Mus musculus: one gene and its partners. The protein of the gene in region 1 interacts with the protein of each later gene in a pairwise test. Links are inferred from orthologs where the notes say so. Each region holds a gene or a part of one and is shown on either strand. Other genes may lie near its edges.

Region 1 (3,600 bases):
TTAAACACATTCAAGTCTATCTGTTTGTTTTAAGGTGGAGCCCTTGGGTTACCTTTGGAGGTTGCTAGGCCACCAATTCATTGCTGTAGTCTGAAAAGAAAGGAACGGAGTTAAGCATTTTGCTTGCCATTCCTGTACAAACTGTACTTCAGGATAGTCAGCTGCGGAAGGCAAGTTCATCATAAGAGTGCCAGCTAAGCAGCACTGGGCACATGACGCCACTAGAAAGCACCACGGTGGCTCTCACTCAGTAATCGGCCCAGGCACTATTAGCCATGAAGAGCTCCCTATTGACCAAAGGCTCTTGGGCAATTTCATGGTGGCTCAACTGAGCAAACAGCACAGGAACCCCGACATACACAGCTTAATTCTAACATCCCTAGTGGGGTGACTCAGACATTACAAGTCTCCCTGACAATGAACGCAACAGATAATTTTTATAATATAAAACCTATACCTTTGAGTTTTCTTGTACCTGCCATCAAAAATCAAGGCTGAATCTAACACTGTATTTCAAAAGATCATTGTATTGCAACAGAACTTTCTGTAATTATGGAAACATCTTATCAGTATTAATCAGACAATAGCCACTAGGCAGCCTGTGTGTGCTGGGCATTTCCAATGTGGCTAATGCATCTGGGGAACCAAACAGTTCATTTAAAATGTCAGGGCTGGCTGATGACTGCCACACTGGATAGTGTAGTTCAAGATTTAGCCAGTGAAGGAGAGGTCATAGAAGAGGTAGAGGCATAAATTCAAAAATATATACAACCAGCTAAACCTGAGTGATAAAGAAACGGGAGGTAAGAACCTGCTTGGGGGGGGGGGAGAAATAGGGGATTTTCAGAGGGGAAACTAGGAAAGGGGATAACATTTGAAATGTAAATAAAGAAAATATCATATATACACATATAATACATGTATATAATATATATGTATATATATGAAAGAAAGAAATTGAGGGTTTTGATTATTGATTAGAGGGTTTTGAAGGCCTAGCAACCGAATGCAGCTGACAGTTCTCTGTAGGACTTTGGTCTACAAGTCTACAACTTTGGTATTACAAGCACATATGGAATAGCTGAAGAACCTGAACTCACCGGACACTGACACTGTGTGCTTTTTATAAATTTGTACTGATGTAAAAATAGTACTGTGGTTTTTGTAAAACTTAAAAAAGCAACTCTAGCCTTTGGCATGGGGAGCACCTTAAGCTATGACAGTGTGGACTAATGCTGTCACCATCAGCCACCACACAGTACAGGAAAGCCTAAGTAACCGGTCCCTACCGCTCCACGGGAGGAAGCAGCAGCAGCATGATTAACAATATCTCCATTGTTTCTGAAACTTCAGCATATACACATTTTAAAGGGACATGTGTCTGTGGTTTAAGTCTCTAACCCTCTTTAGTTTCGCAGCCTCCTTTACTATACTGACCACTGAGGACGACACAGTAAAAGACAGAGAGCACGGGACAAAAATTAACCTAAAAATGGCGCTGCATTCCAAATAAGATAATTCGTTTCATCATATCGTTAAGCTGCAGCCTTTAAGAATAAGTGTAAAAGCCGGGCGTGGTGGCGCACGCCTTTAATCCCAGCACTCGGGAGGCAGAGGCAGGCGGATTTCTGAGTTCGAGGACAGCCTGGTCTACAGAGTGAGTTCCAGAACAGCCAGGGCTACACAGAGAAACCCTGTCTCGAAAAACAAAACAAAAAAAAAAAGTGTAAAAAGCTAAAGATAACTATAGCCATTGATCTCTGACTTACATACAAAATATAAAATACAAATATTCGAGTTGTACAAAGAGCTATAATAAAGTAATACATTTTTGAAACTCTAAATTGGCCTCAAGAAAGCCAGGCGAGGTGGCGCGGATCCTTAATTAGGAGACATAGGTAGGCCCATCTCTGAGTTTGAGGCCAGCCTGGTCTACACTGCAAGTTCCAGATCATAGCTACAAAGGAGAGCCAGCGCTAGTTGGGGAGAATGGGGAGCACTTTTGGCAACAAGTCTACAGTCTGTAAATGAAAACTAGGTCTGACATCAGAATGCACTAACTCCACGATTTTGTAAAGGACAAAAGCCCATTCACTGTCAAGTGTCTCCGCGTGAAAGCGCTGTTGTGGAATTCCCCTTTCCAAACTTTCACTCCACCAATCTTGTTTCCTATGCTTGACTTGAAAGCGTGAAGCCATCTGCAATTCCCCTGCCATCAGGGGTTCCCGCCACATTTCCGCACCTCTCATACTAACATCACCAAGGAACCCTGCGGGCTTCCCGCTGGGCGGCTAACGCTAAGGCCTGGTCCTACACCGGCGGCAGCAGCAGCAGCCGGGTCCCTTCCCGGGAGCCATGCAGCCCACAGCCCGCAGCCCGCCCTCCCGCAGGCCGAAGCACCTGGCCGGCCAGCCCAGAGTCCCATAGGGAGGAGGAGGAACCCAGGGGCGCGACGACCGGGCAGCCGCAACCCGGCATTGGAAAGCCCCGCGGCAGGTGGGCCGCAACGAGCTGCGGCCGCGGGCCATGAGGCCTGGAGCCTAGCGGCACCACCGTGGCCAGGGCCGAGACCGCACCACAGTTAGCCGCAGCTCGCCCGTCTTTGGGGCATGCGGTCGGTTACAGAGCGCGCCCCCGGCAGAGCGCGCCTCCGGCGGAGCGCGCCCCCGGGCCTGCCCGCCGTTCCTCCGGCCGGGGATGCGCGCAAGTCACAACAAATCGCTGTCCGTCCCGCCCCCTGCCGCAGCGCTTGGACTCACCCACATCCGGGGCTTGAGAGCGCCGCGAGTCACGTGACCCAGAAGAAGGGCGGGGCCGGGAGGAAGCCGACGCGCGCGCAGTGGGTAAGGGTTTTTCGCGCCCGCGGCCCGGGTTTCCGAGGGTGGCCAAGCGTTCGCCCTCGAACTCCGGCGTCTACCGCTTCCAGAGGCGCGGGCCGGTACTTTCAACCGAGCTTCAGAGCCACTTCTTTACTGCACGCTGTGCGGAGTGGAACGGAGCCCCCATGGCGACGCTCGACCTCCCCCCTTGCACTTCCGCATGTAGTATCCTCCCACCCCTCGAACCGGAAGTCGCTGCAGCGGGTGACTGTAGTGTCCCAGGATGGTGGCCTCCGAGGGCCATTTTAGTGTAGGCGCCGTGCTCGTAGCTTAGAAATACATTTACAAAGCTGTGTGCATGAAAGGTGTGTATGTCTCATAGGACGTACGCATCTAATGTCTAGAAAGAGATATCCGGGCAATGTGACAAGCTTTCCTCCTGTTGTCACGTATTGTGCCCAGAGATCTAGGGGACTGGTGAAGGAATGGACCCTTGGGACTGCACTCAGCCTGGGGTCTAAAGGAAACAATCTGAGAGCTGAGAGTTTGATATTATCTGGTATCCGGAGCGGGGGAACTTTCTGTTTACGTAAAGGGTGAGCACCCGAGCACCTGACCCAGGAAAATAGATGTGTTTGGAAGGACGGCCAAGCATAAGTGATGAGGGACGGGGGTGGGTGAAAAGCGTGCTAGTTTCTAAGCATGTAGAAGAGAGTCATGTTACAAAGTATTGAGGCGAACTTGTGGAAAGACTGGGTATCCTTACATTACCGCTGGAGAC
Region 2 (3,504 bases), on another chromosome or scaffold:
CAAAAGCTAGAAATATGCCTGAAATAATGGTGGACAGGGCAGACCTCCAAAGCAAGACAATCTGCAAAGACATAGCAAGTCATAAAATGATACCTCTCCAGGCTATCATTAAATGCTAATTGGCACATGACCTGCAAAAAGGGTACCCCTGAGCTATATCCATTAAATTAAATATTTATTGTATAATAACATTTCTCAAGTAGAGGTTTACCAAGGTAGGCAGACAAATATTACTAAAGAATCACCTTTCTGTTATCTAGTAAATTCTGCTTTTCCTACTCAATATCAGAATGTTCCTCCTAAGACTTGTGGTTATATGGCAGTATTCCTTAGGTTTGCTCTGAAGGTGGGCATGACAAACTTTCTGCATAAAAGAACTGACTCCAAGAAGCTCAAGTGACTCAGATTAAGTCATATGTACTCAGCAAGTAGAGCCAAACCCCTAGCTCCCAGCTGTGAGCACTGCAAGATGCTATAGTGTTCAGCACTAGTAAACACTATCCTCTTCTAAAAATAACCTTACTTTTACATTATTTATTTATCTGTTTGTTTATTTAGCTAAGGATGTATGTGCGTATCACTGTGCACATAGAGATCAGAGGACAGCATGCTAGAGCATACCCTCTCCTTCCATATTGTGGATTCTAGGAACAGAACTCGGATTTCTTGGCAGCAATCACCTTTTACTGCTAAATCATATTGTCTACGCAACCTTGTCCTCTTAAAGACAAAAAAACAGTAACTACATTGACAAGCATTGATATTTACTGCCTTATTCCAAACCCTTTAACATAAATTCTGTGACTCAGCTCTCTACTGGTTTCATCTTACTGCTACCTCTTGCTAAAGGCCAACCTAACCAATGCGTTAAACATTATGTTTTCTGGGTTAGTGGCAGATACTTATAATTCTAACTCTTTGAGTACAGTAAGCATCAAGAGTTCAAGTTTAGCCTTAGTGACAAGGAGAAATCTACAAGACCATGAAAGAATGTATTCCCCCCACCCCCCAGCCAAAGAGTCAAAACAACAACAACCCACAAACAAAACAAAATCGACAGAGGTGGATCACCTAACCCTGGAGAGGCAAAGGCAAGCAGATCTCTTGAGTTTGAGGCCAGCCTGGTCTACAGAGTGAGTTCCAGAACAGCCAGGGCTACACAGAGAAACCCTGTCTGGGGACTTAGGAGTCAGGGTGGAGACACAATTGCCAATGTAACCAATTTGGCCAATCACTTGGGCTAGGGACTACCACATCCATACAAAAGATATTCTTAACCCTACAAGGAAATGAGCCGCTCCTGGAAGCACACACCCATTACATGCAGCATTTACATGACTGAGAAAGGACTGCCATAAGATCTAAGCTACACAGCAAAACCGTATCTCAAAACTCAACGAAAAGAGGTTAGCACTATGGTTCTGCAGGCTAAGGCTCTTGCAGCCACGCCTGACAACCTAGGCTTCATCTCTTGGACCCACAAGATGGAGAGAATGGCCTCTTTCAAGCTGTCCTCCGACATTCACAGATTTGCACATACACCCACATATACAAAAGTATAATTAAAAAAATTAAAATGCACACAAAAGCACAAAACATGATCAGAAAACGTAAAAGCCACATGTGTGAACCACACAACTAAAACTGTTTTGAAGCCGAATGCCTCAGGGTAGCCTGCCCCATCCAGAGCTAAACCCTCCCTCCCAACATGCTCACCTCAAACTCTCGGATGTATGGTGCAATGCCACAGTAAGGTTGGTTATGGTGTTTTTCATGTGGCAGCTTTTCCAGGGGTGGCAGGTATGGGATGGGATCTCGGGGTGCAAAAAGGGCCAGAAGGTTGGGAGGCAGAAACTGTGTCATCTTGCCAAATCTAAGACCAGAAACGTTATGTTAGCATACTTTACTTAGCACTGCTTTCTTTTAGGCCCCCTTCACCCAAAACAAACAAACAAACAAACAAACAGGTGTGAGATTTGGAGACGGATGCTGCTATCCTGGTCAAGGGAGTGACCAACATCTGCTTGAAGAAAAGCTCTTGGTAAGAGCTGAAAAACTTAAGGCTGGTAACAGAAAACAAAGGGGAAAAGGAGTAGGAGGTGTGGGACCCAGGTCGAAGCCTCGCGCTCTAGAGGTTGCTCGCTTCATACCTTTAAGATTATGAAGTAGGGATTTCAAGGGAGGCCATAAGGATAATATCCAGGAAGCCAGGGGCCTCTGCGTAAAATATCTAGGAGCCGAGAGACGAAAGGAATTATGGGTAGAGGTCCAGGATGCGACCAAAAAAAAAAAAAAAAAAAAAGGCGAGAAAAAAAGGCAACACACAAACCGCAAGGGCCTGTGGGTAGGGGACCGCAGGAGATTGGGGGAGGGGGATCCTGAGGGAAAGAAGGCTGGAGTGCCCAGAGAACTCTGGGTAAAGGATGGGGGACGCAGAGGGAGAAGTCAAAGGCACTAACCCGGGAAACGGGCCACAGCAGCGGGGAAAGGGTTCGGGAACCCCGCAAGGGCTTGTGGGTAGCGGCCCCACTCCCCGTTAAGGCCTCTCATTCACCCACTCACTCACCGCGCGGCGCTCTCCTCAGCCTGACGTTAGCCTCAGGCCTCGCGGCCGCCCTTCACAAACAAAAACTCCCGCTCCGACTTCCACTTCGGCGGCGCCCGCGTCAGGTAGCTTCGGTGGTCCGCGCAGCGCGCGCAAACCAGACCTCTCCTCACAACCCGCGCGGCCTCAGCTCGCGACCAGAACTGGGAGTGGAGACGACTCGAATCCCTCCGCCTTTCGCAATGCGCATGCGCCGTACGAGTCAAACGACACCCTCACAGCAGTCCAGGCCTTACCAGGGGCACTGCGCATGCGCCAAAACTGTACTCATTCTGAAATGGCTAAACATCCGCGGCCCGGCTGTCGTACTGCGCATGCGTGATCGGACCTAGGTCGGTCTCAGCCTCGCGCTCTAGCTAACCGCCTATGACCGCGAGACACTTATGGAAGGTCCGCCCTTTCTCCTTACACTTCCCGGACCTTGTGCGCATGCGTCTAAGTGATGCACCACGTCGCATATCCTTCCGCAGCCTGTCAAAAAGTGCCTGCATGAACAGGGTCTTTGCGTTTACGTTGGATTTGACAGGAAACTCTTGCCCGGGTAGCGGTTGTGCACGCCTTTTATCCCAGCACTTAGGAGGCAGAGGCAGGCGGATTTCTGAGTTCGAGGCCAGCCTGGTCTACAGAGTGAGTTCCCGGACAGCCAGGGCTATAAAGAGAAACCCTGTCACAGGGAGGAAAAAGAGAGAGAGAGAGAGAACTCTTTCCCAAAATTTTTGTATGTGCTAGCCACCGTTTGGCTCATGATAAAATAGTCATCTCTTTGGCTCAGTGGTTAAGAGCGCCGACTGCTCTTCCGAAGGTCCCGAGTTCAAATGCCAGCAACCACATGGTGGCTCACAACCATCCATAACGAAATCTGATGCCCTCTTCTGGAGTATCTGAGGACAGCTACAGTG
Region 3 (3,949 bases), on another chromosome or scaffold:
GGCCCCCTCACCTTGCAGATATTCTTTGGTTCATAAAGCACTTCCATGGGGACCTTTTCACAGGAACTCACTGTTTCCATGTCAGTGTGATTTTGAAAAGACACAATCTTATCTTCTTCAAGCATAAAACCAAATGTCCTGTGAACGAAGGGGTTGCACATACACAGTAAGAGTCAGTAGCTGATATTTCTTGTACACCGTTTCACCCTGAGATCATCTATCCTTGACTAGGTCTATGGGAGAGTTGGTGGTTAGGAATCAATTAGATTCTATGAACATGCATAAACATGTATGAAGGTATCCTGAGTCTTTGAGAGTGAGAGTCTGTCCTGATTAGTTGCCCTGAAGTGTTCATTGAGATTAAAGGAAATAGAAACTTATTGAATGGGGCAAGCACATATTCTCACTCAGGCAAGGAAAGTGAAAACTGATTTCATAGAAGATATGAAAGCAGCAGTTGTCCCTAGAAGATGGGTGGTGAGGAGTTCAGAAGAAGAAGGTACACCAAGCACCAAATACAAGCAGAGATTAGGAATAGCTCCTAGTGTTTTACAAGACCCATTAGTGACTAGTTTGTTGTTACCTAGAGTGAATTTGTTTTTGGAAGAAAAGCCAGAGTTCCCTTCTTATGCCTGTAACACAGGGTAGTTGGGAGGCTGAGGTAGAAGGGTCATATGTTCAATGCCTGTCTGAGTAACTATAAAGAATGATCTAGGCCAGTCTGGGTAATATATAATTAAATCCTGTCTCAAAGACTCAATCAGGATTTAAATTGTAGCTTAGTAGTAGGATTCTTATGTAACATGTGAGTGGCCCTTACATTAATTCCCTAGTTTTGCCAAAAAAGAAAATAGTAGAAGAGAGACGTCATAAAGCTTCACTCATGTGGAAATGAATAGGAAAACAGAGAAATATGATGAATTAACCATATTTGATAAGCAGACACACGTGTGACTTAAACCATCATACTTTTACTATATGTTGCCTCCCATGATCCTTTCCTGAAGTCTCTTCCAGCTCTGGGTGATTGCTTAACATTTCCAGAATTTAACCTTCCCTAGTAAATAAATGCTTTGACTTTTTATTTTATTACAAAAATAATAGGCACAGAGAGGCTTCACCCAGCACTAATGGAAACAGATGCACAGACCCACAGCCAAACATTAGGCATAGCTTAGGGAATCCTGAAAAGAGGGGGAGGAAGGGCTGTAGGAGCCAGAAGGTTCAAGGACACTAGAAGAAACCTTAAGAATCAAATAACTTTGGTCCATAGGGGTTCATGGAGACTGAACCACCATCCAGGGACTGTGCTTGGAATTGAGTCAAGCCCTGTGCAAATATAACAGTTGAGCTTGAACTTCATGTAGGACTCCTAACAGCAGGAGCAGGGGCTGTCTGTGATTCTGTTACCTGCCTTTGGGACTCTTTCCTCCTGAGTTACCTCTAGCCTTAACAGAGGATATGCCTAGTCTTACTGCAACTTGATATGGTAAGACTGGTTGATATCCATGGGAGGGCTGCCCTTTTCTGAAGAGAAACAGAGGAGGAGTGGATGGGGGAAGAAGGGAGGTGGGGGGAGGACTTGGAAGAGAACAGAGGGAGACTGCAATTGGAGGGATTCTTAGAGTAAGTAAACGAGTAAATAAATAGATGTAAAACGTAATAGACACTATAAACTTTTTAATAAAAGACAGTTCTGGGCAACTGCTGAAACTTAAATACATGTGTCTACTTCATTACCTACTCTTACGTTTTTCCCCTGAAGACAGAATATAGCTAGGTTGCTAAGGTTAACAGAGAAACCATGAACCCAAACACTTCTCCTGTACCTGCCTTTTAAGGAATTTAGATCACCATTTTGTAGTACAGTGCACTGCATCATGTGTAGATTTTGATGTGGTGTGTCCAATATATACTTGGTGAGAGGATTGCCACAGATTTAATAGTCCCCCTGTCCCAACTGATGGTTTCCAGGGACCTAGGAAATGGCTATATGGCTATGCTGTGCTGAAAGGGGGTGTACATGTTAAGTAGAGTATGACCTGCTGGGCTATTTCTAGGGTAGTTTAGATAAAAGACCTAGAATCTCCACATCTACAGGACCTACTGTCACAGAAGGTCAAAGACCTTGGCACATCTCAAGATACACTAACCAGGATCCTCAAGCTAAATCCTTCAGAAACCTTTTAGTGAGTAGACATTAAGGTGTCTCTGGGACCTTGAAGACTGTGTCTTCATCCAAGAGGAAGTTTTAAAGTAGCCCCTCGGACAGAGATCATTTGGTGTCACTGAGGATGGAGGAAATCTCAAGGCAAATAGGAAGTTTCAAAGTTTGTGAAGCTAAGAGGTATACTACTTCCCTCACAAAGAGTGACATACAGTCTGTCAGACATAAAAGGGTTATAATTTCTTGGTTTCATAAGTAATTGCCCAGTGACGGTTTAGCTCAAAGAACACTTCCAAGGAGGAATTCTGAGGAATGCTGGAGACACAAGAAAGGCACAGGTTGGTCTATACAGGCTAACTTTTCTATCATTTAAGGTTTAGTTTTCTGGGACATCCCTAAGGAAGAACCTACCTCAGACAGGAAGGGACAAAGAAGTGTTTATCCAAGAAGAGACCCAAATATGCACCTTGATTCAGCTGTTGCTAGAGACTCAGCAACCAGGGCAGCCAAACCCTTTGAATTCCTCAGGAAACTGAGGGGGAAGTGAGGTAAGAACAGAATGTTGGAGCCCAGTGTTCAAGGCAGGAAGTACATCACCAAAGGGATGTACTAAATATCCCCACTAAAGTATGATGATCCCCACCCCCTGGCATTGCTTACTCCTGGATATGTTTGACTCTTGAAACGTGCATTTCTCTGGATACCTGGGCTTTCAATTATATCTAGACACACCTCTACTAGGCAGTTGTTTCTCTACAAAAAAAATATGGCAAACCACTTCAAAATTTTCTCCTCTGTCTTCCTTAGTCATTCTAACCTGGGATCTCTTTACAATAAACCCATAACATTTCAATTATTTATTAAAGGAAAGCATTAGAGTTGAAACTCTTCCTATATGTGCTCTTTCTCCAAAGACCCAAGAGCTTGTTTTCCACCAATATTCTTATGAATAATAGCAAAACAGTCTGCATGTGATTAGAGTTTATGGTGCTCTTTAAATGGATCCCAAGTGCTTCTTTTAGGAAGGCTTCTCTACTCAAATATTTTATGCCTCCACTGGCCCCTTAATGCTATGTAGACTTTGCATTCTGAGGACTGCTCTGTCAATAATGCCCTGCTCACAATGACTGACACATTTCTTGGGGCAAGGCAATGTTCAATGGACCTTGGGACCAGAATTAAGATTTTCACTGCATATTCTCCTTATGTTTTCTTCTTAATCATTTATAAAAATTAATTTTAAGTCATATTACAAAGGAATGGCTTTCCCCACAGCCCACAGTCAGCATTATCCCAAATGGAGAACACTGTGAAGCAGTCCCTCTAAAAACATAAACAAGTCAGGGCTGTCCACTGTGCCCACTCCTTTTCCATATAGTGCCTGAAGCAGTAACTGTAGACAAAGTTACTTCATTTTAATCAAGGGATCAATCAATTAATAAAATACTATAGTACTAAGCAAATATGCACAAAACTCTGGTGCACCCAATTTCATAAAAGCATATTAATGGAATAAAAACTCCAGATAAACACAAACTGTATAATAGGAGGCAATTTCAGCACTCCAGTTTCTCCTATAGACGGGACATCTGGACCAAAAATATACAAACAGATACTTCAGAATTCAATGCCCAAGCTGGCGTGGTGGCGCATGCCTTTAATCCCAGCACTCGGGTGGCAGAGGCAGGCAGATTTCTGAGTTCGAGGCCAGCCTGGTCTACCAAGTTAGTTCCAGGACAGCCAGGGCTATACAGAGAAACCCTGTCTCGAAAAACCAAAAAA

What was found.
Region 2: the proteins of Cep63 (region 1) and Snrnp70 interact in binary tests that used the Homo sapiens proteins (3 or more experiments, as listed by UniProt). The link is inferred for Mus musculus from reciprocal best matches to the Homo sapiens genes CEP63 and SNRNP70.
Region 3: the proteins of Cep63 (region 1) and Ssxb9 interact in binary tests that used the Homo sapiens proteins (3 or more experiments, as listed by UniProt). The two-hybrid records come from large-scale screens. The link is inferred for Mus musculus from reciprocal best matches to the Homo sapiens genes CEP63 and SSX3.

Annotation. Positions count from the first base shown.
Region 1 is NC_000075.6:102,623,504-102,627,103, forward strand, and holds the start of Cep63 (centrosomal protein of 63 kDa), read right to left. Parts: upstream 2,622-3,600; 5' UTR 2,529-2,621; coding exon of another isoform or gene 2,479-2,528; coding exon 2,401-2,478; intron 2,395-2,400; exon of another isoform or gene 184-2,394; coding exon of another isoform or gene 91-183; coding exon 53-90; intron 1-52. UniProt on the Homo sapiens protein: Required for normal spindle assembly.
Region 2 is NC_000073.6:45,392,943-45,396,446, forward strand, and holds the start of Snrnp70 (U1 small nuclear ribonucleoprotein 70 kDa), read right to left. Parts: upstream 2,801-3,504; 5' UTR 2,567-2,800; intron 2,231-2,566; exon of another isoform or gene 2,151-2,230; intron 1,874-2,150; 5' UTR 1,864-1,873; coding exon 1,717-1,863; intron 1-1,716. UniProt on the Homo sapiens protein: Component of the spliceosomal U1 snRNP, which is essential for recognition of the pre-mRNA 5' splice-site and the subsequent assembly of the spliceosome. SNRNP70 binds to the loop I region of U1-snRNA.
Region 3 is NC_000086.7:8,365,731-8,369,679, reverse strand, and holds the start of Ssxb9 (synovial sarcoma, X member B, breakpoint 9), read right to left. Parts: upstream 2,703-3,949; 5' UTR 2,579-2,702; intron 139-2,578; 5' UTR 126-138; coding exon 12-125; intron 1-11. UniProt on the Homo sapiens protein: Could act as a modulator of transcription.